4 separate regions of the Mus musculus genome follow, and all the other regions are reported to be linked to region 1. Evidence: microRNA targets listed by miRTarBase, many of them from high-throughput screens and not tested one by one. Region 1 holds a microRNA gene; each other region holds the end of a gene's coding sequence.

The links. The annotated mature microRNA mmu-miR-26a-5p reads UUCAAGUAAUCCAGGAUAGGCU and lies in region 1 at 4,672-4,693, shown strand. An mRNA with a match to its seed (bases 2 to 7 or 8) in the 3' UTR can be bound and repressed. Matches are read on the target gene's strand: a 7mer-m8 pairs with bases 2 to 8, a 7mer-A1 pairs with bases 2 to 7 and ends in A, and an 8mer does both.
Region 2: miRTarBase lists Galnt10 as a target of mmu-miR-26a-5p. Seed matches in the 3' UTR shown: 7mer-A1 at 2,131-2,137.
Region 3: miRTarBase lists Ero1b as a target of mmu-miR-26a-5p. Seed matches in the 3' UTR shown: 7mer-A1 at 6,177-6,183 and 8mer at 5,212-5,219.
Region 4: the mRNA of Scrn1 is a reported target of mmu-miR-26a-5p. The part of its 3' UTR that is shown has no 7-base or 8-base seed match.

What each region holds. Positions count from the first base shown.
Region 1 is chr9:119,027,140-119,034,258 of GRCm38, forward strand. It overlaps Mir26a-1 (microRNA 26a-1), which reads left to right and starts at 4,657; the gene lies at 4,657-4,746. It overlaps Ctdspl (CTD (carboxy-terminal domain, RNA polymerase II, polypeptide A) small phosphatase-like), which reads left to right. Exons shown (of 8, transcript NM_133710.3): 5 at 3,057-3,113; 6 at 6,397-6,489.
Region 2 is chr11:57,783,960-57,791,078 of GRCm38, forward strand. Galnt10 (polypeptide N-acetylgalactosaminyltransferase 10) reads left to right here. Exons shown (of 12, transcript NM_134189.2): 12 at 611-3,542. The coding sequence ends at 769. Among named protein-coding and RNA genes, the nearest start is that of 2010001A14Rik, 14 kb to the right of the region's middle.
Region 3 is chr13:12,606,083-12,613,201 of GRCm38, reverse strand. Ero1b (endoplasmic reticulum oxidoreductase 1 beta) reads right to left here. Exons shown (of 16, transcript NM_026184.2): 16 at 3,674-6,375. The coding sequence ends at 6,315. Among named protein-coding and RNA genes, the nearest start is that of Ero1b, 44 kb to the right of the region's middle.
Region 4 is chr6:54,502,669-54,509,787 of GRCm38, reverse strand. It overlaps Scrn1 (secernin 1), which reads left to right. Exons shown (of 8, transcript NM_027268.2): 8 at 426-972. The coding sequence ends at 584. It overlaps Wipf3 (WAS/WASL interacting protein family, member 3), which reads right to left. Exons shown (of 9, transcript NM_001167860.2): 9 at 6,020-7,119. Among named protein-coding and RNA genes, the nearest start is that of Gm52863, 6.2 kb to the left of the region's middle.

The sequences.
Region 1 (7,119 bases):
AGGAAGACACCCCAAGAACTCAGGGTGACGGTTAGACCTATCCTGTTACCCAGGTGAATATGGGCTGCAATAATTGATTATTAAGTCACTGGCTTGAGGAAGCCCATTGGCTGGGCTGCCAGTGTCTCTGAGATCTCACCGTTTCCTTGAGATCTGGGCTTCCCCACTCTAAGCCCTGTAGAAATGCTTTTAGGTTCAAGTGGCACAGGCAATCAGGGCACCAGGATGTGACGTTTGTTGAAGGAACTGGAGCATTGTGCATTTTGTTGGGTGGTGCACCGGGTGGGTAATGTTGAAAACTGTCTGGTAGCCCTGCTGTCCTGGGAATGTTCCCAGATCAATTTTTGAACAATGGTGGGTAATGTGGGAAACTGTCTGGTAGCCCTGCTGTCCTGGGAATGATCCCAGATCAATTTTTGAACAATGTCCAACTGGAAGGACGCCTTCCAGAGTTAAGCATCCGAGTGGCCTGGGCGTCCATTCTGATCATTCTCATGCTGGGTTTTCTTGTGCCCTCACAGCTGACAGAGCGCTCACCTTCACAGCCCATCCCAGTGGGTGCGGAGCTGTGGTTAAACTATGTGAAAATGAAAGTCAGGGGCTTTCTGATCTCTATCCCTGCTCCATCTCATTCGGGAGGGAGCGGCAGTGGCTACATTGTTAATTCACCGCTCCAAACAAGTAGAGTTGTTTAGAAGAGACAAATGCTGGCACATGTGGGTGAGTGGTGTGTTGGGGAGAAGCAGGGGGCATACGAGCTTGGTTCTCATCTTTCTGGACTATTCCCTGTCAATAAAACTATTCTACCCTGGTCAGTCTCAATATGTTCCTCATGCCCCACTGCCTTGGGATGCCTCTTACTTCGCTGAGAGATGCAACTGGCTCCACCCATGATGAGTGTCTCAGCGTGAGCCCTTGTCATTTCTGGCAGGTCATCAGGCAGAAGAATCATTAGATTTACCTCGCATCTTCTCAACGAAGGCTCAGCACGAGGCCAGGAGGCCATCTTTAAGGGCTTGGGAATATAGATAACCTAGCAGTGAGAAAGGACCTCGTTCTAGCTGCTGAGGCTTGTAGGACCACCTCATTACCCAGCATTCCAAGGGCCTGGCTCTTCCAGGATTGTGTTCCTGGGGCCACAGTGGCCTGGAGTGCAAGCTTGGTTCTAAATGACATTGCAACATTTCCCTTCTGTGAAACAAGCAACTGGGGGCATCAAGCCTTTCAGAGCAGGGGTCAGCTTCTGTCGCAGCATAGAGAGTGCCCTCCCAAGCAGCTGCGGACAAGCTGCCCAAGATTACCAAGGGTTCCTGGCTCCAAGGCCAGGCCTTGGCAGCACTGGTGTCTCTGACCAGAGGGCATGGCCTCCCCAAGCTGTAAATAAAACTCCCTCATTTCTTCTCTGGCCTCACTACTTTTTAAAATTATCTTTTACTTTGTTTTATTTTTCTATTTTTGCACTGAGTGTGGATGTGTGGGTGACACAGCATGTGTGTAGAGGTCACACTACACGTTTAGGAGCCCGGTCTCTCCTCGCACCGTGGGTTCCAGAGATCAACGCATGTCACCAGGCCCTGTGTAGCACTGAGCTATGTCTCCTTGCTGAGCCATCTTGTGGGCTTGGACCAGGCTGCTTTTGCAAGTGGAATGTTCCTCATGATATTTAATGTTTTCTGAGCATTTCAAAGTCTCTTGGGGATGTGTCCACCGTGAACCCCTCTCACGTGTGACTCCCGAGTTCGTGGAGTCGGGAAAAGCTCCGGCTTCAGGGTGGTATCATCACGCAGTGCGTGGGAGTTCACGACCACACTTGGAAGCTAGGAGCCATTTCTCCTCTCTTACTTCACCCCGTGCAGAGGGATTTCACAACCCAAAGCCTTTGACAACTTCTTCTTCAGTTGTTTTCTCTGATTTTCGTAATTCTATATTTCGGTGGTAACATTATGAAATTTTGAATTCGTCCCTCGCCTTCCTGTCCTGGAAACATTAACTTCGGGCTTAAGTAGCGCTCCCGCATCTGAGCATTTAGTCGCGGGTCTAGTCTACCGCAGTCCACAGTTTTCAGTGTATACGTCAAGGGAAATGTGTGGTGCACTGAGGGGCTTAGATGTAGACCCGGTTTACAGTCTGACCAAAGGTTCTGCATGTCCTTCACCACCCGGTGGCCACCATATGCCCAAGTCGCTCTTTCCCTAACGTCTGCAGGGTGACAGTTCTTTTGAGCCTCTCCGTTAAGTTTTCTAACGTGTGGGATTCCATTTAGAACTGCTTATGAGCCCGTTGTTCAATGACTGTGACTGCTGAGGTAATATTTTATTTTTCAAATGTGTTTAATACTAACCAAGGGTTAGGTTAAATGCCTGTGAAGTTGTAGGTAAGCTGTCTTGTGTTTCTTAGAACAGAGCAGTTAGGCTGGCCGTCCTCCAATCCCAGAGTAGGAAACCAGGCCAGGCCACCAGGCAGGGCCTGAGGCCTGATGGAGCCGTGGGGACCCATCGCACCCACCACCATAACAGTTGAGGAGCAGATGCTGAAGTCCAGAGGGGAATGTCTACCCAGGATATTCGCCTGTGGCATCTGGCTTTCCGCCTGCTGTGGCTCTGTCCTCTGAGCATCCTGTGCCAAGCTGCCCACACTCTGAGTCCAAGGACAAATTGCTTTTCCAGTGGTAGTGACAACTGGCCAGCAGGCATTCATCTCTGCCCCCTGGTGGCCATCAGTGGTCCGTCCCCGTCCCCCCGTCCCCCATCCTGTCTGGGCTCCAGGCTGGAGTCTGAGCAGCCCCATTCTCTTGCCAGACTATGCCACCCTTTGCAGTTGAGGCAGGCAGGTGTCCAAGAGATTGGGCTAGATGCTGGAACTCCAGGACACTCAGGACAGGAAGAAATACTCCTTCCTACATGTTTATTTCAAGGACCCAAGGCCTCTGCCAGCATCCTTGTGAACTATTTCCTGCCATCGTCAAAACATTGGTCCAGGCAAGCTTCTTTCTTGCTACAATTTCCAATTTTCTCTTTCCTTTCATATGTATTAATCACAATTTCTTTTCTCTCTAGCCCATTAGTAATGCTGACTTCATTGTTCCTGTTGAAATCGACGGAACCATACACCAGGTAAGGAACCAGAGTTAGCCTGCAGTTCCAGAGAGCATTTTCTTGTAACCACACTCCCTGGGAACATCATTTTTTCAATTCTCACTTCAGTGGCCATTTTATTCTAACTTCAGGAAACAAACTTTGTATAATAAGTATAGTAAGCCAGGCATGGAGGCAGAGGCAGGCAGATCTCTTGAGTCTGAGGACAGCCTGGTCCACAAAGCGAGTCCTTGTACAGCCAGGGCTACACAGAGAAACCCTGTCTCAAAAGCTAAATAAAAATACTGTGAATGATTCTCTGCCTCATGCATGCATTTGCTTTTTACCGTGTTTATGAGGACCCTTTTCTGTTAATAAATATTAGGTATGATCTCTGATTTGATTTCAACTTTTAGGAGCCTTTGTGCAATCCCCTAGTTGTCCCCACCGCTGGCCGGGTTTGACATCTGGTCAACTTCATCATGCATTTGCTTTTGGCTTCTCCTAGCAACAGGAAAATGCCACCAGTCACCCACTGACGGAGCATTCTTGGGAAAAATGTCCACTTTGATGCCAACTGCTCCCGTGAGAGCTTCTCTGCCCATGTGGTTTTCTCCAGTGTCTTTTTTAGCAAATACTCAACCCAGAGCAAAGGGGAAGGGTGTGTTAAGACCAGCAGGGTGCTGTGCATAAATTGTCATCGTCAGCTGGCATCAATCTTCTTCCGGTTTTTGGGGTTTTCTGTTTTGGGGTTGTTTGTTTGTTTGTTTGTTTGGGGGAGTTGCTTCTTCTTTATTTTTTCTTCGTCATCAGCAAGCTCTTCTGGAAATGACTTCGTCTATGAATACATTAGAAACATGGTAGAAAAGCTCGCCTTGGAGGTTAAGGTAGATATAGTTTTGCCACATGTTTCTTAGGAGTGATGGGACAGACTGTCTCCCCCATCAAACTCAAGGCCTTAAGGGGAGAGTATCTGGCCTCATATCCCAGGAAGGGACAGACATTTCCTGGTTCCTGGGCCACACAGGATGTCATTTCTTAACGATGCCAATAAGGCTCCTTAACTCTTGAGTGCAGTTTAGAACAATCCAGGGCTGTGAAATCAGCTGTTTTAGCCATTCCGTTGCCCAGACAGAAGGTTATATATGACAATCATCAGGATAAGATTTCCTGACTCCTAAGCCAGGGCTCTTTCCTTAGACTTGGTTCCCCCTGTCTCCCTTACCCCCACCTAGCTCTCTATCCTGTCCTACAGGACATAGGACCTGGGAAGGTTTCAGGCACCTGGTCACTTACCATTCACAAAGCACCAACTGAATTAACTCCACCCCCGCCATGCAGTTAGGACCTCTGCGCTGGTTGTTGTGTCTAAAGTCGAAGAGTCCTTGAGGTGAGGCTCAGGAGGACTGCCCAAGAAAATAATTCTTCACACCACGTGGCCACAAGCACGTCCGGAGTGCAGGACCCACCCCGGCTTCCCTTGCCCCTTCTCTTTGGCAGTAGACACCCCGGGCATCAGGGCTGGGAGCAGAAACTCCAGAGAGAAGGAAGGTACAAAAGCTGGAGGACCGAGGCCCTGGCGAAGGCCGTGGCCTCGTTCAAGTAATCCAGGATAGGCTGTGCAGGTCCCAAGGGGCCTATTCTTGGTTACTTGCACGGGGACGCGGGCCTGGACGCCGGCATCTGGGCCCAGGAACCTCCTTTCTGCTAAAGGCGGCAACAACAGAGTTTCCCCCGTCCATCTCCAACCCTTTGCCTGTAGCCAAGCTTGCTGGCCAAGCAGTCCTCCCGGAGACTCAGGACCGGAGGCCACACCCAGTCACTGGCACCAGCAACAACGAGTGTTATGAGCAAAGCAGGTCCTGCAGCTGCTACAGCCACACAGCTCTGCCCTCAGCCTAGCCCAACACCCCAGCTCAGCAGGATCCTGGTGGCACCCAGGATAGACCACCTATATTCCTCTGGCCCCTCTCTCCACCCTCAGCTGCAGAGCCAGACCCCCAACCCACTCCTAAAGCTAGCCAGCCGCTTTCTCTCCAGGTCTTTGCCCTAGGAAGCGCCTTTTCCTGGCATGCTGCAAAGCAGTGTTTCCATCTAGGAAGTCTGTCCTGCAGTGTGTTTTCCTTGCATGGGGTGCAGTCTTGTGTCTCCTCTCCCTTTCCGCAGCCCCCTCCCCTGCTCTGTCTGCCCTTAGAGGCCCTGTGGCTTACTGCTACCTTTAGCTCTTTACCTTAACTGCTTCCTCCCTGAGCAGCCTCCAGGGCTTCTCTCACTGCCTATGGTTGGCTGTGGACACAGGCTTTGGCCCAACACAAACCCAAGTGTTGTGACGCTTCCGATCCTCACGTTCACACTTTGCTCGGGTTGGAGGCTCAGCTCTCTCTCTCTCTCAGCGTGTGAGCTCCTCTTTATTCAAGGTCAAGGCCAGATGTTGCTTTCTGAGACGCCCTCTGGAAGGGAGAATTATCTTGAATGAATACCCCACTGTGAGATTTCTTGTGTTCACTAATTTCTGTCAGTGTGTGCTCAAGACTGAGTGAGCTGAGCCGGCAAGGCCCACCACACGAGTCTCCAGAGGATTGGGGGCTCCAATTCAGCCTTGTAGCTGAACTGAGCACAGCGCTGAGACCTGGTAATTATGTTTTATTTTAAAGATGTAGCTAACTTCTAGTGGAATTTACTCAAGTTTTAATTGGTCCCTCCCTCTGCCCACTGCCTCTCCCTGGCTTTGCTTTCTCTCTTCCAGTTCCTACACATTCCTTTAGCCTCCAGAGACTGCAGCCTGGGTGTTAGGTGAAACCAGCTGCTTCGCAGGCCTGTCTGGTCTGATCAGAAGGATACACAGAGCCCAACTGTGGGAAGCAGCCCCTTACCCATGTGAAGTGCTTTCTGTACCCCTACACAAGCAGGGTGACCTCCATGGTGTCCACTAGAAAGTTTTCAAGTGCATTAACCCCAGGGGGCAGGGATGTTCAGAGTTGGAGGCCGCAGCTAGTCCTAGACTTCCAGAAGGACAGCACCTAGGCTGTGGCCTGTGGCCACATAGGGGCTGACTCAGCAAGTGCCAAGTGGATGCATGAGCAACTGCGACTGGACATGGCACAGCTGTGCTCTGCTTACTGGCTCCGAAGATACTCAAGAACCTTGACGACGTGGTCGGCTTTCCTTTCTCTCTACAAGGGTTGAGACGCAGAACCTAGTGCAAGCTTCAGTAAATCGTACATAGGCCTGGCAACAGGAGAAGGGCCCCTTGGCAGTTCTTCCAAGGCCCACGCTGTCCCTGGATGCTATGACTGACAGCTCTTGTCTCCTCCCACCGCAGGTGTATGTGCTGAAGCGACCTCACGTGGACGAGTTCCTCCAGAGGATGGGGCAGCTCTTTGAGTGTGTGCTCTTTACTGCCAGCTTGGCCAAGGTGCGTCCTTTTCGTCCTGCATCCTGTGTCCTGCATCCTGCGTCCTGTTCCCAGCCGTCATCCCAACCTCTCCACCCTCCACCACACCCCCCAAGCTGCCAAGAGCCCTTTGTTAAGGTGGAGGAAGCTATTTTTACGGTGACAGGTTCCCACCCCAGATGCGATAGATGCAGGCCATGTGCACACTGCTAGGCTGAGAGGTTTCTGGTTACCATGGTGACTGGGAGCATTTGGAACAAATGCTCCATGAAGTTGCTTTATGCAGCCACCTGAAACCAGTTATCCACAGACAAAACCACAAGACCCGTCCATTGTGACTGTGGATGGATGCAGGTGTGGGGGAGTCTCCCTCACGCATTGAAGAGCAGCCAGATTTTAGAGTCCCTGTGTCCCCGTGTTTGATGGCCACAGGTTTCAGGGAGGAACAAGTTAAGAGGCAGGTGTCAAGTGTCACTGGCAGGCACAGAATGTTGGGAGTTCTGATAGCCTTGGGAGCTGAATGGTTTCTGGTAAATTCCTTTACCTCTGGCACATTGGTTTCTTCTTGTCTAATTGGGGATAATTCCATCTGCCTGTTAGAGTTCATTAAATGAAATGGCCCATGTGAACGGCTCAGCACAGCCCCAGATT
Region 2 (7,119 bases), not on the chromosome of region 1:
TCTGCCAGTGACCTGGCCCTGAGAGACAGGACAGGAACCCAGACTCATGCATTTTAAAAAGGAAGCCATGCTGGGGTATGGTGGTGTCCATCTTAGATGCCAGCACTAGGAAGGAAGAGGCAGGCAGCTCTCGGTGAGATGGAGGCCAGCCTGGTTTACATACAGCTCTAGGTCAGTCCTAGTTGCATAGCAAGACTCTGAAACAAAAGGAGAGAAAGAAAAAAGAAAGGGAGAGAGAGAAAGGAAGGAAGGGGGAAGGAGGAAGCGTGCTCTCACGCATTCCGTGCAGCAGGGACGCAGTAGTACTCTGGTTAGAAGCAGGCCGTGCTGAAGGTCCCACTTAGAAGTGCATTCAAGCTGGGCAGTGGTGGTGCACGCCTTTAATCCCAGCACTTGGGAGGCAGAGGCAGGCGGATTTCTGAGTTCGAGGCCAGCCTGGTCTCCAGAGTGAGTTCCAGGACAGCCAGGGCTACACAGAGAAACCCTGTCTCGAAAACAAACAAAAAAAGAAGGAGCATTCATCATGAGGTGACAGGAGACGCTGGGCCTTGCTTCCTTGTTGCTGTCATGGCTCCTGTGTTCCCCCACTGACAACCTTCCTGTTCTGTAGGACAAGACGCTGTACCACCCTGTGAGCGGCAGCTGCATGGACTGCAGCGAGAGTGACCACAGGGTCTTCATGAACACCTGCAATCCCTCCTCCCTCACCCAGCAGTGGCTCTTTGAACACACCAACTCGACGGTCTTAGAGAATTTCAACAAGAACTGAGTCCTTAGACCTTGACAAACCCCTCAGGTTCCTGTGGAGCTCATAAACCTTCCTCCTGTGGGAGAAGAGGCATCGGTGGGCACCAAGGTGCTGGGTTCTTGAAGGACTGACATGGTGGGGCCACGGGGAGAACAGACCATACCAATGGCTCTCCAAGAAGGCGGAGCCTGCTCACATCATAGCAGAGCTCACCAGCCTGTCAGCATGTTCCCTAAGTGTTAGGAATCGCCTGGGCAGCCTTGAGCCATGAGGTTGCCCTTGCAGACAGGACAGTGCCCTAGAAAGGAAGGTGGTATCGGCCTTGGGACAGCTTAAACCTGTGTGCCAGCTGCTGGCAAGGAAGTCTGCCTGTTCTTGAGGGAACTGCTAGAATTGCCCAGCTTCTGTGTTGGTCCAGGGCAATGAGAGGCCATTGGGACTTCCGAGTGCTCCATAGCTAGCACTGGCCAGCAACCAGGCGAGGGGCCCCTTCCTCTGCAGCCAGATGTAAAGGATGTCTCCCCTGGCTCTCTGGGTATTTCAGATGCCCGTTCTAGTTTCAGGGCTACCTGGGCACCAGGTCGTCAGGGCTAGTTCAGCCGGCTAAGTAGACCTCCAGACCGAACAGCTCCCAGCCAATGCTTCCAAAGCCCTTTCTCCGTGCTTTTCCTTGGCGGCTCCCTGCCTTGGAGAGGAACCGGTGCTGTGAGGGATCACCTCCAGAGTCTCCTGGGGGGTGGCTTCCCCCAGATAATGACTGCTGTGGTTCCAACCTCACAGAACCCTGGAGTTTCTGGAAAGTTCTGTGGTTCTGTTGAAAGCATAGATGAGCCATGGCACGTGTGGGCATATAACGCAAGCAGCCAGGTGTCAGGCAACCCCTGACCCAAGCAGAGGCGGTAGGGCACCAGAAGCTTCGGTCCAACCCAATGCCGTCACAGCCACAGCCTCGTGAGGTGTGAGGACATCACCTTTAGCCCCATGTCTCAAACATGAACTCACCCTCCAAGGAGCTGGTCACTTGCCAGTGAAGTAACTGAGACATGGTCCTGAGGCCAGAGCTCTGCCTTAGAGATGCTGGGATCGGGGTCATCGGGTCCCCAGGCTCGTCGGGTTGGTGCTGTAGAACCACCTCCACGTAGCCCCTGTGCTGTCACAGCTCACTTGTGGATTTCTAGTGCCCTTTTCCATATGAGCACTCTGTCTGACAAGTGGCCGGCTGGGAAGGAGTCAAAAAGGGGAGTGGGTGGGTGTCCAGAATCCAGCAGGGATGCGTGTTGCAGCCAAGGGGAGTTGAGTCCTCAGAGAGCAATGCGGCCTTGTTTCAATAAAAACCGTGCCTTTTACAAAGAGAAAATGCAGCCGAGCAGCTGATTCCCTAAACTTGAACCACTTACTAGTGCCTTGCTAGACAGACAGACAGACAGACAGGGGAGCGTGGAGAAGGGACACTTATTCGGGTCCTATGAGCCCAATGAGTGTCTTTACGTCTGACTTCAAGCAGAAAGTGCAGAGCAGAACCTGAGACCCAGAGGCCCCCACAGCAGGGACAACTGCCTATTTGTGCGGCCCTCCCTGAGACAGGACAGCTCTAGAGACCTGACAAGCCCAGAAGTGCTCTGCCTGAACCTCACTATCAGGGGCGAGCTGAGCAGCTGGGTTTCCAGCGGATGCCGAGCAGGTGGTTAGGGTGGTTAAGGCAGATGCTGCCGCAAGCCATCCCTAGCCTCACTCGCTCCCTTGCTCGCCCGATTCATTCCATCCTCATCTGGTTCCGTCCCCTTCTCCAGCAGTCACTTCCTCTGAGCGCACCTCAGCATTTGTGACTGCTGAACTCTGACCTTAGAGCCTAAGACTTGAGGAGGTGTGTCACAGGAAGAACCAGGTTGGCTTGGTGGCTGGCTGCAGATACTTAATCCCCACCTTGTTTGGGCTTCAGGTGTGGAAATCCTTGTCCTGAAGAGTCAGGTTTCTACTCTGCTGATGGGCCTGTGCCACAGCCCACGCAGCAGGCCGGGCGGCTGGCCTCTTCCTCCAAAGCTTTATTCAGAGGCTAAGACTACAAAAACAAGATGTGGTTAGAAAGGCGGCCTCCCCTCCGCCCCGGAGATTCCAGAAACATTTTGGAATGCAGTGTCCTTGCCATGAGGCCATTGTGTGGCAGGCAGGCTGTCTTACCCTGCCCTGCCAACTAGAGCTTCTGGCTTTAAAAGCAGCCAGCAATGATAGATCTTGCGTTGCGGCAGTGAGCTGCTCTGATGGGCGGCCTAGTGGATCTCCAAAGTCAGCATCATGACTCCCCTTCAGTCCTTCCTGTCACGCTCCTCCCTGCGTGGACCCCTCGCTTCAGCAGTCCCTACTTCTCACAGAGGAGACTGTCTGCATCCAGTGCTCAGGGCAGCCTGTTTGTCTAAAGTCAGGCAGTGTGAAAGGAACAAAGAGTGCAATTCCACCCTGAATTCATCAGCACTTGCCGCTGAGGCTTTCTCCGGCAAATCCTACTCATATTTTGGTTCAAGGTTTTGATGCTGAGCCAGGGCCCTGCTGCCACCATTAGGTGAGAGTGGTAGCTACATCCCAGGTTTCAAGATCTTAACGCGGTCCACTCAGCTCTGACAGGGAGTCCAGGGGCTGCAGGCAGGGAAGCTGGGCACTGAGACAGGGTTCTGGGGGCGGGGGAGGGGCGGATCCCAAGACCACCCACCTCTCCTGGAAGAGAGAGCCTTGTAAGGAATGACTTATCCTGTTCAGTTGTGACTGTGGTTGTTCAATAAACCTCCAGACTTTCTCTAAAGCAGTGTCTGGCATGTCCCTTGTCACCTGCCTTTCTGTCCATGTCCTCAGAAGACTGAGTGCCTGCCCAGCGTCCAGATGTCCTGCAGGGTACTGAATGGAATCGAGGTGCTGCCATTTCTACAGGGGAAGGCAGGCCAGAACAAGGGTGACTGCAGTTACAAAGGGCTGAGAAGGAGAGCTAAGCTGGCTGTCTTAGAAACTGGGGTGAAACCATCGTGAAACTGTCAAGAAATGCTCCTCAGGGCTGACAGACCAAGCCAAGAAGAGGGCAGAGAGCAGCCCCTGCAAAGGCCACGAGACAGAAAGGGGCTCAGGTCTGGAGGAACACAGGGGTGAACTCGGCATTCAGCCTTCTAGACTAGACCAGAAAGAGTTCCAGAGGGCAAACAGAGCTCACGCATTAGCCACAAATAACCTGTTTGCCAAAGTGTTTCTGGGCTGTTTAGCATCTGTAGAACCATGATTAAAACATCTACAGTGAGATCTTGTGCAACTCCTACCCTCTTTAGGCCTTCGTTCACAGTGAAATGAGCAGTGCTTGAAGGTTTGGTCCCTGAAGAACCCTGAGCAGAAACTGTTCCTCGTGTTGTCAGGTAGCAACCACCAGAGGGCGCTATGGACCATAGCTTGGAGAAGGTCATGTACCAGGAAAGCAGGTGAAAGAAATAGATTGACAGTATTCTTAAAGGTACACACTCAGAGATGTCTCAGCAGTTAAGAGCATCTGCTGCTCTTACAGAAGACTCAGGTTTGGTTCCCAGCACCCACATCACAACCATCCTTAACTCCAGTTAGAAGGGATCAGATACACTGATGTCTGTCACCTCCTCCAGAACCAAGCCTGCACGCATGGTGCCCATGCATATACACGGGCAAAAGCATGCCCTAGAATAAAATAAATCCTGTTTTTAAAAAAGGCTTTTTAAAGGGCTGGTGAGATGGCTCAGAGGTTTAAAGCACCTGTTGTTCTTGCAGAAGAGCACATGGTGGCTCCCAGCGGTTTTTAAGTCCAGTCCCAGGAGATCCAGTGCCCTCTTCTGACCTCCATAGGTACCAGGCTGGTACATGGAGTACAGACATGAGGCAAAACACTCACATTAATAAAATACTTTTTAAAGAAAGTTGTCTTTTTTAAACTTTCTTTACCCAGAGAATTATGACCCGATGGTGAATGAACAAGAAAAGCTTCCAGTGCCTACTGTATGCAGATGCTCAGATAGAAGTTGAAAGATGGCGGGTGTAAGCAAGATCCAGAGTGAATGGCTTACAGGATCTGCACCCCCACGAGACCCTTATTTGCCCTCACATGGTCCAATTCCCAGGCTTTGCCAACACGCATAGAGATGCTAGATTATTCATTTGCTTGCTTGTTAAAACTGAATATATGCGGGAGGGGGGGTGGTGCACACCTTTAGTCCCAGCACTTGGGAGGCAGAGGCAGGCAGATCTCTGAGTTCAAGGCCAGCCTGGTCTACAAAGTGAGTTCCAGGACAGCCAGGGCTATACAGAGAAACCCTGTCTCGAACCCTCCCCCCATCAAAAAAAAAAAAAAAAAAAAAAGAATGGCCCCATAGACTCTTACGGTGGAGTTGGGGGTGGGAGGGTTAAAGGCCCTGAAGGGGATAGGACAACAGAATCAATTAACCTGGACCCTTGGGAGCTCTCAGTCTGAGCCAACAAAAGAGCCTATGCAGGCTGGACCAAAGCACCCCCACCCCCACCCCGGAACATATGTAGCTCAGTCTCTATGTGGGTCCCCAACAGGGCCACCTGGTCTAGCCTCAAGGAGAGAGAACACACCTAATCCTACAGAGACTTGATTGGGGGCAGGGGGTGGGCTGGAAATGTTGTTATGGTCCAGCATCTGTCTGCCTCCCTCTTCTCTCTCTCTCTCTCTCTCTCCTCCCCCCACTTCCCCTCTCTCTCCCTCCCTTCCTCCCCTTGTGGATCAAGATTGTAATTCAGTGGGCCAGGGAGTGGTGGCGCATGCCTTTAATCCCAGCATTTAGGAGGCAGAGGCAGGCAGATCTCTGAGTTTGAGGCCAGCCTGGTCTACAGAGTGAGTTCCAGGACAGCCAGGGCTATACGGAGAAGCCCTGTCTCGAAAAATATTATAACTCAGTTCCTTCTCCAGCACCACAGCTGCCCTCTGCCATGATAATAGACTAAGCCTCCGACTCCGAAACAACTTCTGTGAGCCCCAGTACATGCTTTTTTTTTTTTTTTTTTTTTTTTTTTTTTTTTTTTTTTTTGGTTTTTCAAGACAGGGTTTCTCTGTGTAGCCCTGGCTGTCCTGGAACTCACTTTGTAGACCAGACTGGCCCCAAACTCAGAAATCCTCCTGCTTCTGCTTCCCGGGTGCTGGGATTAAAGGCGTGCGCCACCACTCTTGGCCATTAAATGCTTTCTTTTACAAGAATTGCCTTGTCATAGTATCTCTTCACAGCAATAGAACAGTGACTAAGACACCTACACACTGGGAAACTGAGGAATGTTCGGGGAAGAGCTTGCGTAAAAGCAGTGGTTGATGGGGCCAGAGAGACACCTCAGCAGCTAAGAGCACCCACGGGGTGACTCACAACCAGCTGCAACTCCACTTCCAGGGGATTTGGTGCCTTCTTCTGGCCTCTATAAGTACTAGGTGTGTACTTACAGAGTGCACACACACACACACACACACACACACACACACACACACATGCAAAATACTCATATACATAAAAAAAACCCAGTGGTCGGAGCAGGCATTAATAAACAGGTGCGGAAGACTGGGGGTGTTGGGTAGCAACAGCCACTGCCCAGCCGGAAGGGACAGAACATGGTCCCTGTCCTCTGTGATTTCTGCCTTTGGCATCAGCTCTCCTGAACTCCCATTCAAATCCCCCTGAAAAAGTAAAGCCCCTGGGTAAGGGCTGGTGAGATGGCTTAGCAGGCCAAGGTGTTTGTGGTACAAACCTGGCAACCTGAGTTCCAGCCCCAGAGCCCACATGAAGGAAGGGGGAAAGATTTAACTCTAAAGGCTGTCCTCTGACCTCCACACGGGCTCTGCAGCACACACATCACACACACAAAATGTTAAGTAACCCCCCCCCCCCGACTTTGTTGTTGCTGTTTTGAGGCAGGGTCTCACTATGGAGCCTTGTCTGGCCTCTCGCTAGCAATGTCAACCAGGTTGGCCTAGAACTCAGAAAGATCCACCTGCCTCTGCCTCCAATGTGCTGGGATTAAAGACATGCATACTATATCCAACATGGATAATTTTGTTTAGATAACTACTCAAGATAACTATATAAGCGCTTGGGTTGGGACTGAGGCTCAGGCTCACCACTAAGCCATCAGAAAGCACCAGGGCTTGGGTTCAATTCCTAGTGCAGAAAAGAAAAAGACAGACAAGTGTACAGGTGACTCCAGAATGTTTTTAGGATCACTCAGCTACCCGGTTTAAATGAGGACTGCATGCGTTAATGATCGACCCACGCGCGATAATAGCAAGACAAGGGACAATGGAAGGAGCTGGGCTTTGTGACAATGCTGCTGACCTTGAGCTGTGACTCCAGCTGAGAATGCTTGCTGTC
Region 3 (7,119 bases), not on the chromosome of region 1:
CAGAAACACATCAGTATGCGGTTTACTTTATCCACAGCTTCTGGTGGATCCAGATGGGAGAGCTGTTAGGAAAAGGAGCAGGCTCAAATCAGAGTTCTCATCAAAGACTAAATAAATAGGACAATTGAAGTGAGAAAACTTTTAAAATGGAACTGTGAAGACAGACAATGGAATTTAGTCTACTGGGTGCCTCTGTTAGACTGGGAAGTTGTCATGAGTTTGGATCTGAGACCACACTAAGAGAATCGCACATAAACTTCCTCTCCGCTCCTGGCAGGACACATGAAAAACCCTCTCCCAATGGAACAAAATACCTGATCCCTGCTGTGGCCATCCCTATGTCCCAAACGATTACACTTCTTATGCCTTTGCTTCATTCTTGCCCTGGGTAGGTTCTGTGTTCAATATGGACTCATTGAATCCAAATGCCTATAGGATCCACACCTACCTCCCCAAACCTTCATCTGCCTCCATGTTTGGATGCAGATAGCTTACTAGTGTCTTCTTTTCCCCTAAGCCTTATCTGGTTCACCCCTCAAATTCTGATTTTCTATAACCTGAGTGGAGCATATGTTCTGAACTTTAGCCTCCTCAGAACTGGAGTTCAGAGACTCACTTTCTTCAGCTCATATGAGCCTCAAAATTCTTCCCTCTCAACTCTTGTTTACATAACTGTTACCCATGACTCTGACACCCACTAGTCACTCGCCGATCATGGTCTTCCTTCAAGACCCTAACTGAAGCATAAGAGTGCATGCATTCAGATAAACAGGGTCTTCTCAGGCCTGCTGTGCGAGTCTCTAACAGATACCTAACTCTTTGGACAAATAAATGGAGGGGACTCTTTTTTTCTTTTTTTTTTTTTGTGGTTTTTCGAGACAGGGTTTCTCTGTGTAGCTCTGGCTGTCCTGGAACTCACTTGGTAGACCAGGCTGGCCTCAAACTCAGAAATCTGCCTGCCTCTGTCTGCCTCCCAAGTGCTGGGATTAAAGGCGTGCACCACCATGCCCGCCAGCTCGTCTTACAAGATGACCTCTGACTCCATGGTGGTGTGCTGGACCTCTATGAATGTTCCCATTTAGCAAGAACTCAGAACTACCCAAGGTAGCTGAAAAGAAAATCTAAGATGATCTTTACGTTCTAACAGTTAAGTTCAAGAGGTTAAAAGTACCTTTAATCTAAGATTGTAGTTGTAGGTAGAATGCTTGCCCATGTGTCCAGTTCCCCGCACTGCATAAAGTGGGCTTGGCAGTTTATACCTGTGGTCCCAGCACTTGGAAGTTGGGAGACAAAGAGAAGAATCAGAAGTTCAAGGCCATCCTTGGCTATATAGGGACTTTGAGGATAGTCTGAGACACTAACGACCCTGTAAGTAAAGAAAGGGAGGGGAGGAGGGACCCACAACAGAAAACAGTTCTGCATTGCTAGGAGGAGTTTTTTCAAAGCTCACGTGGAATCATGAAAATCTATAGTATCTAGGAAAACTAAAATGGGGCAGGGGAAGGAGAGCGTGTAGTCAGTTTGAACACAATAATAAATTCCAAATCACCAATAACGTGTTGGTGACACATTAAGGAAAGAAAGCGTTTCCCCTTGGTGTCATTTAACCAAGAGTAAGCTCAGATTTTATTTTCTATTTCATGTTCCCTGTGTCTTCTGTCTTCATCCTCTGTGTGTTACACGAGTCTAAATCTGTGCCTGCCTGAAGACTGTCTTGTAAATCTATCCCCACTGTGTGTTCATCTGTCACAAAGGGCTTTGTTCTCTATTGAGCAGCCCAGAAAGCATAACATGGAGAAGGAATGAGGGATAACAGAAATCTTTAACAGCGTTTTACAAGGGATTATTAAATCGGACTCCAATTAACCCCAACCGACCCAGAAAACAGTATCTCAAACACTATTGTTTATCGAGCAATATTTAAATGTTGTGTTCAACATTCGTGGTGGATATTCGCTTTAGGAGATTGCTTTCAACTTCTGTGTGTGCTGTTTTCAGCAAATGACACCCATTCATTACTGTTGGTCAGAGACACGGAGAGTACAGGACTTGAGATTACAGCTAGGCACAGGGAAACCCAAGGGTAAGTAAGGGTGACTGTTAACACCGGTTTCTTAAAAGCTGAGCACACAGTAGGATAGCATCTTACGTCACAAGTGACCTCAGGGTCTACTAACCTTGCCTGTAAGGTCCATCAAAAGTTCCACTCCAGTCTCTTGGAGAGGACCAAGGGCTAATATTCAATATTATTGAATTAAAACAATGTCTACTGGTACATATAGGAAAATGGACTGATGAAATGGAAACATAACCTAGATAAGGAGCTAGGTCCATAGAGGTGTCAGAGATCTTCCTGTCTACATGATTCCTCAAAGGAGTCATGGAACAAATGGCTAGAGTTCCCGGACCAAACAGGTTACACCTATGTAAAGTTAGGTTGGTTTCTTTAACCTGTATTTTGTACTAGGATCCAAAGGATCAAACAACTGGTATAGGAAATGAGACCATACCACAGCATGGTAAAACCATTAAAACAAAGCCACGTAACAAATTGGAAGACTGAAGCCCATCACGCTTGAAGAACACCTCTAAAAGGTGGGGTCTAGTGCACAAAGAACACCAAGCAAATTAAGGGTTAGTTGTTAATTTTATACATTTAGTTTTTAAAATGAACATTTTAAATTTCCATCCTATCAGAATGTCCAAATCTAGCATTTGAACACTGTCTCTGGTGGTGAGGCCATGGATGAGCAAGCACACATGTACATGAGCTGAGCTAGTCCCTCCCTGTGGAGGGCAGAGTCCAAGTCAGTACCTCTCAAGCCTACAAGTGTGTGTGGTCTTTCACCTTTGAACACTTAGAAATGTACATATACAAATGTGACATGATATGTGGACAAGGTCTAGAAACAACTCAAATGCTCAAGAATGGTACCACTCAACTAAATACTGGCATAGCCATAGTAAGGATACCAAGCAACCAATAAAGTGAAAAGGCTATCTCTCTGGTGGTACATGGCTACTGCAATAATTAGGTGATAAAAAGCAGATGGTGTGTATGTGGTATTACTCCAAGTAAAATAAGAGCAAATAGAGAAATAAGGCTTTATATGTATATATGTTGGCATTTTTTTAAAAAAGGAGTGTGTGGATGGAAATACAAAAAGCCAGGGACAGAGGACATGTGTGTGCACTATGGGAAACTGGGAAGACATTGTGGTATTAGTGTATATTGTGTTTTTTAACCATGTGAATGTACCACCTATTTGGAAAGTTAAATAAAACAAGCATTTTTTAAGCCTATGACTCAATACAAATCATAGAATACTGTTCCTACCTTTTGATTGAATGGTATTAAGTCCACATTATCAGTACAGGCTCTGGTGGTTCGCTCAGGCTCTACACGCCTTGAGCTTAGAATAGAATAGCAAGCTCTGGCTGAGTCTCAGACCCCATTTGTTTTCATGCTTTAGGAAACACCTGTCCTTACCACCTAGTGTGCCGCTCCATGCAAAGTCCTCAGCACACACGGCCAACGGCTGCCATTATGACTGCAAGGAGAGTCCCCTCCAGACTATGCAGAAGTCTATTTTCCTCCAATCCATAAATTATAAACACAGTCTCATAAGAAGCCCTTGATAAGGAGGAGGGGGAAAAACAAAGAAACAAAAGATTGCAGAAACATGTATTTTAATTCATGGTTCAGACTCCAGTGGTTACAACAGCAAATTATTTGGAATTCTGCTCAGAAAACTCAAAGCTGCACCTGTAGATGTCATTTTAAATAAAGGACACGTGGATTTATGTACTTGGTTTGGACCAAGGAGTTTCCGTGACAGCGTGTATCTGGTCTGAGCCTTTTGGTGACTACTAAGGGCTCCTGCAGGAACTTCAGGCTGCAAACTGCTGAGAAGCAGTGCTGAGGAAGACCAGCACAGTTGTCCCTCCTTACACATGGTGGCACCTAGGCAGGGTCGAAGAGACACAGCACAGCATTTCATACACAAAATACAGGGGCTAACATCTGAGTTGGCAAGTTTCAAAATTGATTATCTTGTTGTTCGGCTGATCCTCCACATAATCCAAAACAAGAGGAGTACTGAGCATGGGCCATTTTAGTATAACATGGATGCCACTAAAGGAATATACAGGCCACCAATGAAAACACTTCCTCTTCACATTGTTATGGCACCAGGTACAATCTTTTCAGTCAGGCTTGCTGTCAAGTGCTAGATTTTTACAGCAGGTGATGAGACACAGACAAACAGCAAGTGTTTTGTCACAAGCAATCTCACAATGTAAGCAGTGCTTGAATTTCCCCCAAGCACCGGTGACAGAACCGGCAGATAGCCTCCTACAGATTCATCATCAGGGTCACCAAACAGTCCCACAGTCCACAGTCCTCAGATGTCATGGTGATGTCGCTGTGCACACACCAACACACCCTAACGTATTTAAAAATTAATCCAGTGAGTACCAACTTCAGAATACTTCCCTTACTGAAGGAATTCATTCTAACAACCATTTCTTTCAACTTCCTAGAACACACTGTACTACTGTGTGTCCTAAGCTTGGAACAAATCATAGTTAAGAAAAATTCAGCAAGTGGAAATGAAGATTTTTCCCCCCTTAAGCAAATAGTTTAAATAATAGCATCTAACTGCAGTGGTGATAAGTGACATTTCCAAACAATCTCCACATTTAAAATAAAAATAGACAAAGTGCAAAATTTCCACCTTTCCTTACATTCTAAATGGGCACTACAGAACCCGCTGGTGTACAAGGCAAGGTCACTGGCATTCACTTGGTGGGCTTTTTATCTTAGAGTGGCCCGTTCCCATCACATGGCAATACTTGCAACTCTTTAAAAAATAAAAAGCAAAGAAAAAAGAAAACTTCAAGCCAGCTTAAAAAGAGTAATCAACCGACAAAATTCACTACTATCAACAAAACATTAAGTTTATAAAGATTAGGAATGAGGAGCAGAAATAATCATAGAGGCCTCAGGTCTCATCACACCTCTGTAGTGGAAGACTAGGCATTCAGAGGGGAATGAGCCAACTTAATAATCTGGCCTACACCATGAAGTTACAAGGAACACAGTAAAGACTTTGGCAGATAGGATGTGGATTTAAGAGCACTTACTGTTTACTCCAGAAAGACAGAATCTAAGGAGAAGCGAGATTTTTGGACTCGCATAGATAAAAACCTTTCAAGTAATCCCATTATACACTGCCACCTTTAAAAGAACCAAGATTTAAAATATTTAAAGATTTTTTAAATCCCGGGTTTAGAAAATGGCAGTTTAGGGCCATTTTAGTCCTCCACTGTCTTGAGTCACCAAGGATGGCTGATCCGGGATGAACTGAAGATGGAGGGACAGGGAGGAAGTGACAGCCGTGCTGAAGCAGCTCACCAGACAGTCGCACAAAAGAGGTAGAGGATTGCATAGATTGTGTTCAAAATCAAATATTGAAAATGCTTACTTTAAAACAGCAAAATGTGTGTGTAATCCAATTAGCATTATAAACCCATAGGATCCCATTCAAATTTTGTGAAGAAAAAAATCCATTAAATAAATAGGGCTTTTCATAAAACAACTGAAAATGTCTATAATTAGAAGAGGAACAAAGAGAAAAGCCAGAAGGGGAGCTGTAGGCTTTAGGTAAAGGACACTCTACTCTTGAGCCAGGCTGGGGTACACGGGCCAAGTGAGCACGGGAGGGCACTGACCCACCTTCACCAAGGCAGGTCCCTTTAGGCCAAAACCACAGCAGCAACAGCAACTAAACATGGTAACAGGGTTGAAGCCCTGGGAAGCCATCCAGAACCTCTCGCTAGTCACTGAAAGGCCTATTCACTATAGTTACAGCCCTGCATTACAGAGGATGGCACACAGTGTTAGGCAAGTCTAAAACACTAACTACACCAGCTATAGATTTCTGTCACTGGGACCAGCTCTAGGCAACACTGGTTCCCTGGTTCTTTTTTTCTACAACAGATTGAATAGTCTTCTCAGGATAGACAGTCATTTAAAGTTTGACAACTAGAAATGCAGAGTAATACAATACAAACAAAATGTGAAACAAACATGGCATTAGTATAACTTACAATTTTAAAGGATATACTTCATTTATAAATATCTCTAATTGGTATTCTATTAAAGATCATAAATATTCAAGTGGACATTTGAATTTTCTCTTAAAGAGTTCAGAATTCTTGAAGTCTTAGACATGTAGTCTCTTTGCCCAGTGTCCAAGGCTAAAAGGCTTCATACAGTCTGCTATGTCTATGAAGACATAGAAAAGTCTTCATTACCTCCTGTGCTGCAACAACGCTTTAAAGTTCTGTAATTCTCTTATGCTTGTAGAAAGTCTATAGGAGGAAAACAAGTGCATATTAGAACATACAGAGGGCATGCTGTACACAGACTTGAAATAGCCAATACAGCTTCCTTGAGCTATATAACCTGGAAGCAAAGAATCTAAAAGAACCAAAACACTGAATGCTGACAATTCCATTTAAAAGAGAAATGCTGTGATTCCTACTAAAGCTGACAGGTCATGGAGCTGTGGGCCTTTGGGCATGCTTAAAAGGGCAACAGAAACCACTCTGTCTTCACACTGAGACCATCCATGAGAGGCAGGTGTGTGGTACATACACACCTTTGACTACAGCACTAAGGCAGAAGCAGACCGATCTCTTGAGTTTGGGGCCAGCCTGGTCAACAAAGTAAGTTACAGGACTTGCCAGGGTTACACAATGAAACGTTGTCTTGAAAAATGAAACAACCACAAAAAGCCTATAGATGAACTATGGACACAGTGCCACTGTCTACACTGTCCCTCCCACTCCCAGTACCCGTCTATACTTATGGCATTGTACAAGTAATTACTGGCTCAATGAATAAATAAAGAGCTCAAACACAGACATCAAACCCTGGGGTTGGAAGAATGGGAACCTACAAGTTCCTCTCCCTTATGAACTCAGGGTTAACCTAACGAACCTGCTATTTCTTCTACAGCCTAGCCACAGTGTCCACCTGTCAAGTATACACGCGCAACAAACTCAAAGAACACAACAGAAGTTAGCTACAGCTGAGCTTTTAATTTTTTAAAA
Region 4 (7,119 bases), not on the chromosome of region 1:
AGAGAAGCTATGTCATTCTGGAGGAAGGACCTCCCACAGAGCTCTGAAGATGGGGCACAAGTTGGCACAGTGCTGAGGGTGGAAAGAGCCTCCAGGGGACAGAGTCACCTGAGCCATGGGGAGAGAATATCACAGAGGATAGCCATGCATATGGCTGAAGGGATAGATACACAAGGCAAGAGGCCAGTGCATCTCGACTGACACTCGGTAGTCAGGATTTATTCTGATTTCGGACAGCTGGTGGCCGTGCAAGTGTTTCTGAGCAGGCTGGTGCTGTAACCATATTCTAAATCGGCCCCCATGGTGGTGGCGGTTTGGATCAGTGGAGGTGGGGGGGATGGGATGGAGGCCAGGAAGCCAGCGGGATCCCGGGCTGTCACTATCCACTGCCATGACCATTCTGCACGGCTGTGTCCTTTCCTCAGGAGCAAGGTCGCACCCTGAGGAAGACCATGCTGGAGTTGGAGAAGCAAGGCCTGGAGGCCATGGACGAGATTCTGAGCAGCCCCGAGCCCCCGGACCCCGCCGAGGTGGGGGACCTATTCTATGACTGTGTGGACACCGAGATGAAGTTCTTTAAGTGATGTAAGCACCCTCACCCTTACTCAAAACTTCCCACCCGACTAAATTACCAGCAGATAAACACTCTTCTGTGTGAGTAAACCGAGAGTTACCATGTGGCCTCCTTGTGTCTAAATGTTCCCTCTGTTCAGCTTAGCAACCCTCCCCCCTTTGCTATGTAACGCGATCCCATTTGCCTCTTGCTCCATTGTGTGATAAGCTATGGGCTTGAAGATGTTCTTATATTTCAGTGACAATGGACACCTTAGCTTCTTATGAGGAACTTGAGTTCCCTCCGCCTTGGACAGGGCTGCAGGGCCACGCTGGTGGGAAAGACAAGAGCTGTGAAGGGCCTGGTCCCTCTCTAGATAGTGGTTTCTTTAGGGTTAACAAAAGGCTTTTGTTCATACCAAAGGCTTTTGTGTGTGGATGGGGGAGAGCCCCCCAGCTTCCTGCCACAGAGCACAGGCCTGTATGTAGCTCATAGTCCCCACAATGTCCTGGGAAGGAACAGAGGACTGGTACAGTCCCAGCTCTGCTCTGGTGTATGCGATTTTTGAAAGACCTGTCTTCTGTGAGCTGTGCTCATGTGCAGTGGAGCAGACCTGCTTCCGCCTGGAGGAGAGCTGGGCATCCATGTTAGCCACAGTTCCTCATCCACAGTGCTCCCACCTGAGGACCTGGCCCTGTGTGGAAATTGATTGGGATTTGATTGTCAGCAACTTGTATGAGATTCATTAAATGGCCCTGGCATACAGCCACACACAGCTGCAAATCTCAGCCAAAGAGGGAAAGGAAAGGGTCGCTCTTGACTGCTGAGAGCATAGCTAATGTACCTGGAATCTGAGCAGCCCTGGTCTCAGCAGAGCCTGAAATTAAACTCATTTGTTTCCAGCATCCGTGTGTTTGCACAAAGGATTTGACGCCACAGGAGTGTGTGAGGAAGACAGGGCGGGCTGAGGGCAGAAGGCAGTGAGACATTTATCCACAGAACAGTCTCCCTCGTCCCACCCACTGCCTCGTTAACTAGATCCCACATCAGTGTGCTGAGTACCTGACCTCCAGGATCTCCTCCACTTTGTTCTCACACCCCACTGCCCAACAGATTCCTTTGGATGCTGTCTGGAACAGGAAAGAGGTATAGGTGCCTATCCACTGCCACTCTGCACGACTGAAGGGCCAGGCGTAAAGATGACTGACAGAAGTGTAGACTAGAGGAGAGGCTAGAGAGCATGTGCTGCGGGGCCTAATTATAGGTCCTCACTCTTGACAGGGCTGAGCAAACAGAAACTGTCCACCAGTGATCTCAAGCATGGCTTAGGGCTGGCAGGGACCTGAGCCCTCATTTCACAATGTGATTCAGGCTACAGGTTTTTTTGGGGGGACAAATCTTGTTTCTCTTCCAACCCGAGAGAGAGAGAGAGAGAGAGAGAGAGAGAGAGAGAGAGAGAGAGAGAGAGAATGTCTACTGTGAGCTCTTTCCTTGATTGGTTTGTGGGTTCCATGTATAAACAAATGGCAAAACACAAGAGATGGGACAAACTCATGACAAACTGGTATCTCTTGCTGATGGACAGAGGGACACAGGTAGAGCAGCTAAGCTGAAAGTGCCCAGCAGGTGCAAAGGGGAAAAAGAACAAGGTTTGAGGAGGAAGTAGTTGCCTGTCCCAGCCTCATCTGCTGAGCTCTTTAAGGAAGGTGGTGCAGAAAGCCGTGCTGTGCTTTCCCTGTGTGGTCTGCCCTCCACCTCTGAGGCCAGCTCATCAGATCTGACCTGCCTGAGACAACCCAGGTAATTTGGGGTTTGATCAGAGGTCTAATGGTAGCAAACGACACAGCGACCTTCTTCATTACTTTGGCCAAGGTTGAAGATGGCTGTGACGCTATTATGCAGGTGTGCACTAGAAAACCCAGTGGTTGTTTTTATTATTGACTGTAGTCCAGCATCACGGAGAAAGGCCAATCCTCTTAGGAGCATTGGACAGCTCAACCATGTTGTCATCTTACCACCAGAGGGCACAGCAGCCCTCTAAGGGTTTTCTCCTCCGGCAATGGATAAGGAGCCCAGCTATGAAAGCTTTGCTTACTGGGATGGATGGGGGCAGACAAGAGGACAGTAGGGAATCTGCCGAGGTGCCCGCACGTACTTTAGTGAGTTTAGCCAAACTAACAGCAGAAATAATACTGGATTTTGAGTAAGCAGACTTAGGAGAATATTTGTTTTAAAATTCATGTAACAGATTTCCCTTTGAAGAAACACTTCTGACATGGGTAATTTCTCAATCAGGGGTCACTTTTATGAACAGCATGCAGAAAAATAGATCTTCGGGAATGTTTAAGATCGATCAGTAAATAACTTCCCAGAAGACCACCCTATGTCTATTAAGCCTGAGGGCAGGGGATCCTGAGCACACTTTGGGCAGAAATAAGTCACGATCATGAAGGATGGACTGCCTGTCTCACCTGTCCCACAGAACCTAACCTAAGCTAGCTAGTGTTGTGGAGATGAGATTTGCAGTAAATGAAAATGGCAGCCTAGCTGGGGGCAGACACCCGAGTGTCTACGTAAGGTAGTAAAGTGGAAATAGTCTTTGCTCATTCTTGGGATGCCTGAACGCTAGCTAAGCATCTGATAAACGCTGTGGAGACTTAGCCCAACACAAGCTCCAGTGTCTGTAGGAGTCGGCCTCACAAGCTGATGAAGCAGCTGTACGCCTAGTAGAGCTCGGTGGTGACGCTCCCTTACTCTTAGATGAATCAGTAGCTGTGAAAATAACTGTCACCACAAAATTACTGTCATCGAACATTGACGCAGGTGATGCTACTCTGGAAGGACCTCAGGGCAGCCAGGTGTGCGTGTCTTGAAATTACTGACTTGAGTTCTTGTATCACAACTAATTTCAGCTGAGAGTTCAGCCTTGGGAGAAAGCACACCATGGTGGGAGAGGTGTGGCAGGCATTGCTCGAGCATCCTGGCTCTCCCATGCCTCCCGCAGCCGCGGCATTTCATTCTACATGGCGCTGAGCCCCAACTCCTGTCCTGTGGTGTGTGTCACACGTGTTTTTACTGACTGAAGCCAACCATCCTGAACTGTCATGCAGAGAATTCTTGCAGGAATCAATAAGGACGTGTCTCTAATCACGTGTGCGAACTGAAATGTCATAGCTGAAGCAGTATAACAGAAAACCTTTGTTTCCTGTGGGGGGAGGACTGAACATGTGGTCTTAACAGCCTTTTGTACAGATATCTACAAATCAAACGATGTCTCTATCCAGTGCTTGCCCTCGGAGTGTCTTTAAATGCACCAAGTGTACAATAAAAACATGGAAGTCAATACCTAGGAGCCTCTTGTTTGTGTCTCATGGACACAGTCGGCACCAGTCACAGCACACACGTATGAGGGACTGGGATTTTCCGGTTGGAATCTTTAGAAAACTCAACCACCTCTTGAGGGCCCTACACTATGCATCTCTACAAAGACAAATTCGCTGTTTAAAAATGAAGCCCAGCTGGGTGTGGTGGGGTACCCTTCTAATCCCAGTACTTGGGAGGCAGAGAAGCAGACGGATCTCTGAGTTCGAGGACAGCCTGGTCTACAATGAGAAACCCTGTCTCCAATAACAATGAAAACACCCCAAACTATAGCCATATGCCACTCTGTCAGAACAGCAGCTGTGAGAACAGCGGCCGCAGTGTGGGGTGCTGGAAACATCAGGCATTGCTGGCAGAAAGAAAGGTGGCTGTCCATTGTAAACTATGGAGACTTTCTCATAAACTGCCACGTGACCCAGGAATTCTGTCACCTGGTATGTACCAAAAGATTTGAAATCAAGGCCCAGAAAGATGCCTGTTCAGTCAGCTTCCTAGCTTATTTTATTACTTACCTATAGATGGATGGATAGATGGATGGATGGATGGATGGATACAGAATGTGGTATATCAAGGCAATGGAGTACTACTCACCCTTAAAAGAAGGCAATTCTGACACATGCTACATACAATCTGTATCAACATTGCGTTGGACAAAATGAATGTCATAAAAAGACATACACACACATATCTGTTTACATGAAATATTTAGAAGGCTCAAATACACAGCCCTTTTGCTTTCCAGAGTGTGCCCTTACTTAGCTGCAGGACCCAAGTGTTCAGAGCTTGACAGTGTGTCTTTATCACTTTACATCCTAGCTATGCATTTACCTCCTGATTTGCCTGATGGAGAAACTGAGACACACCTAAGTAATTTAATCCCCAAAACTCAATAGGTTCATATCCTGGTTTGCCTTTCGACTCTAGTCCCAGTGCCCTGCCCCTCCAAGCTCCCCTCCCCCACCATAAACTTCATCTTCCTTTTTTCCCAGGCTTCCGTGTCCACTAGAAACATAGCTGTGGAGGGGAGCGGCCCCTGCTTGACAGAGGAGGCTTTTTTAAAGGGCTTGCTGAGTTGCAGGGGAGAGACTAGGGTTTTAGGTTGGAGCTTTCCTTGGTGGTAGAGATCTTGCCTATATATATAAGGCCCTAGGGCTTATGTATAGTCAATCCCTAGGACTACAAAATAAATACTTAAAAATTAAACTTTTCTCATTTCAATACATTGGCAGAATTTAGAGGCAACATTCTTGACCCATACTATAGTAATAAAACTGGTAAGTATGTTGTTTTCTATTTTAAAAATGTGTATGGAAGGCACACACACACACACACACACACACACACACACACACACACTAGCATTTTTGGTGTTCCAAGGGCTAGAGGGATGGCACAGTGATAACTTTTAATGCTTTGGGGACAAGACTTATTTCATCAGCAGAGATGGGAGACTTGGACACAGACCTAGAGAGAAAGGAACGCTGCTTCAACCAGACTGAGCTTGGTGCCTGGGTACCCAGTGATGAGCCAAGTAAGGTAGGCAAGTGCAGGCCAGGAGACACACAGCTGCATGGTTTAGTTCTAGCCATTACAAAGACTGATGTCAAAACTGACCTTTGATGCTCTGGGAAGCCCCTTTTTGTTGGTAAAGAGAGGCAAGTAGACACAATGCTCTGGGACAGGGCAGAATAGGGCCAGAGGACTCAAGTTCAGTTCCCGACAAGGGTGTTTGGAAACTCACAACCACCTGTCACTCTAGCTCCAGGGGATCTGACACCCTCTTCTAGCCTCTATAGGCACCTGAACACATGGCCTATACATATATAATCATACACATAAATAAAAATGTAGTTTAAAAGGTGCTATTCCTGGTGTTCCAGAAAATCACTGTCCTATGTTTAAGCGTTTCTGATTTTTTAAAAATGTGCCTTAGTACTTAAAGCCTGACTGTTACACACTGTATTCCCGTACCACAGCCTCACACCATATCCCAGAAACATGTGTATTCATCACACGTCAATCAAAAAGGCTTAGATCAGTACTGGGGATCACAGATGAGTTTTCACAGGGAAACAACCACACGCATTCTCACTTATTAAAGTTTATTAGGTACAAAGGAATAAATCCACAGCAGGGAACTTCAATAAAATATAAAGAACATTGGGTGAGACATCGGGGGAGTCACAGTCTGCAATGTGAGGGTAAGCAAGGCTAGCAGGGGACCTCTCCACATGTGAGTTCATGGCCAGGGGCCTAACCCATGCGCTGCTGGTGGGTACTGAAGGTACCCACTTGGACTTGGAGGGGTAGGCTCCATGACAGGCCTTGAGCTGCTAGGCCAGATCCCTGAGACCGTTCCTCGCTTGCTATTTTTGGTTTCTGCATGTTCCTTCCTTCTGACCTTAAATAACTTTGTAAAAAATATTTATGTGTCGTGTTTGTGTGTGTGTGGTGTGTGCGTGTGTGTGCATGAACAAGGGCACATGTGTGCACATGCATGTGGAGGCCCAAAGGCCATTCACAGGAATCTTTTTTGGTCTATCTCTACTATCAGTTTCTCACTAACCCTGCAGCTTGCAGATCGCTCATTTTGTGAGGTTGGCTGGGCACTGACCTTCCCAGGATCAGCTGCCTCTACCCAACTTTACCCACTCCTCTACCAAGGATTACAGACATGCACCCCTATGCCTGGCTTTTACGTGGGTGCTGGGGATATGAGCTCAGGCCCTCATGCTTGGGCAGCAGGACGTCTCCTGACAGAGACATCTCCCCACTCGTGAATAGTTTAAATTCTTGTGCCAGCAGTGTAGAACATGGTGTCCTTCAGTGTACTGGGCAAACAGACTACTTCAAAGGCAGGGCTGCCTTCCAGATGGCCCTTGTCGTAGTTATGAAAGCTTTTTAATGATTATTACTTTGCGTGGCTGGGAGAAGAGTAGACTGGATCCTGACCTTTCTGCACACTTCCAGAACCAACGCAACAAAGTCAGCGTTGAATGGAACCTTCACCTCTGTTCATGTGGCTGTTACAGTGGCTTGAGTCCTTACCCCAGAGATGTTGGAAACTTGGCCCTGGCTCAGTTTCACCTATCTGGAAGCATGTAGGACATTTGCTCCATATGACAGTTAGGTGTCTGCAGACACTCTCCTTATCCTTTGACCCTGGATGGCCTGGGCTGGGCTAA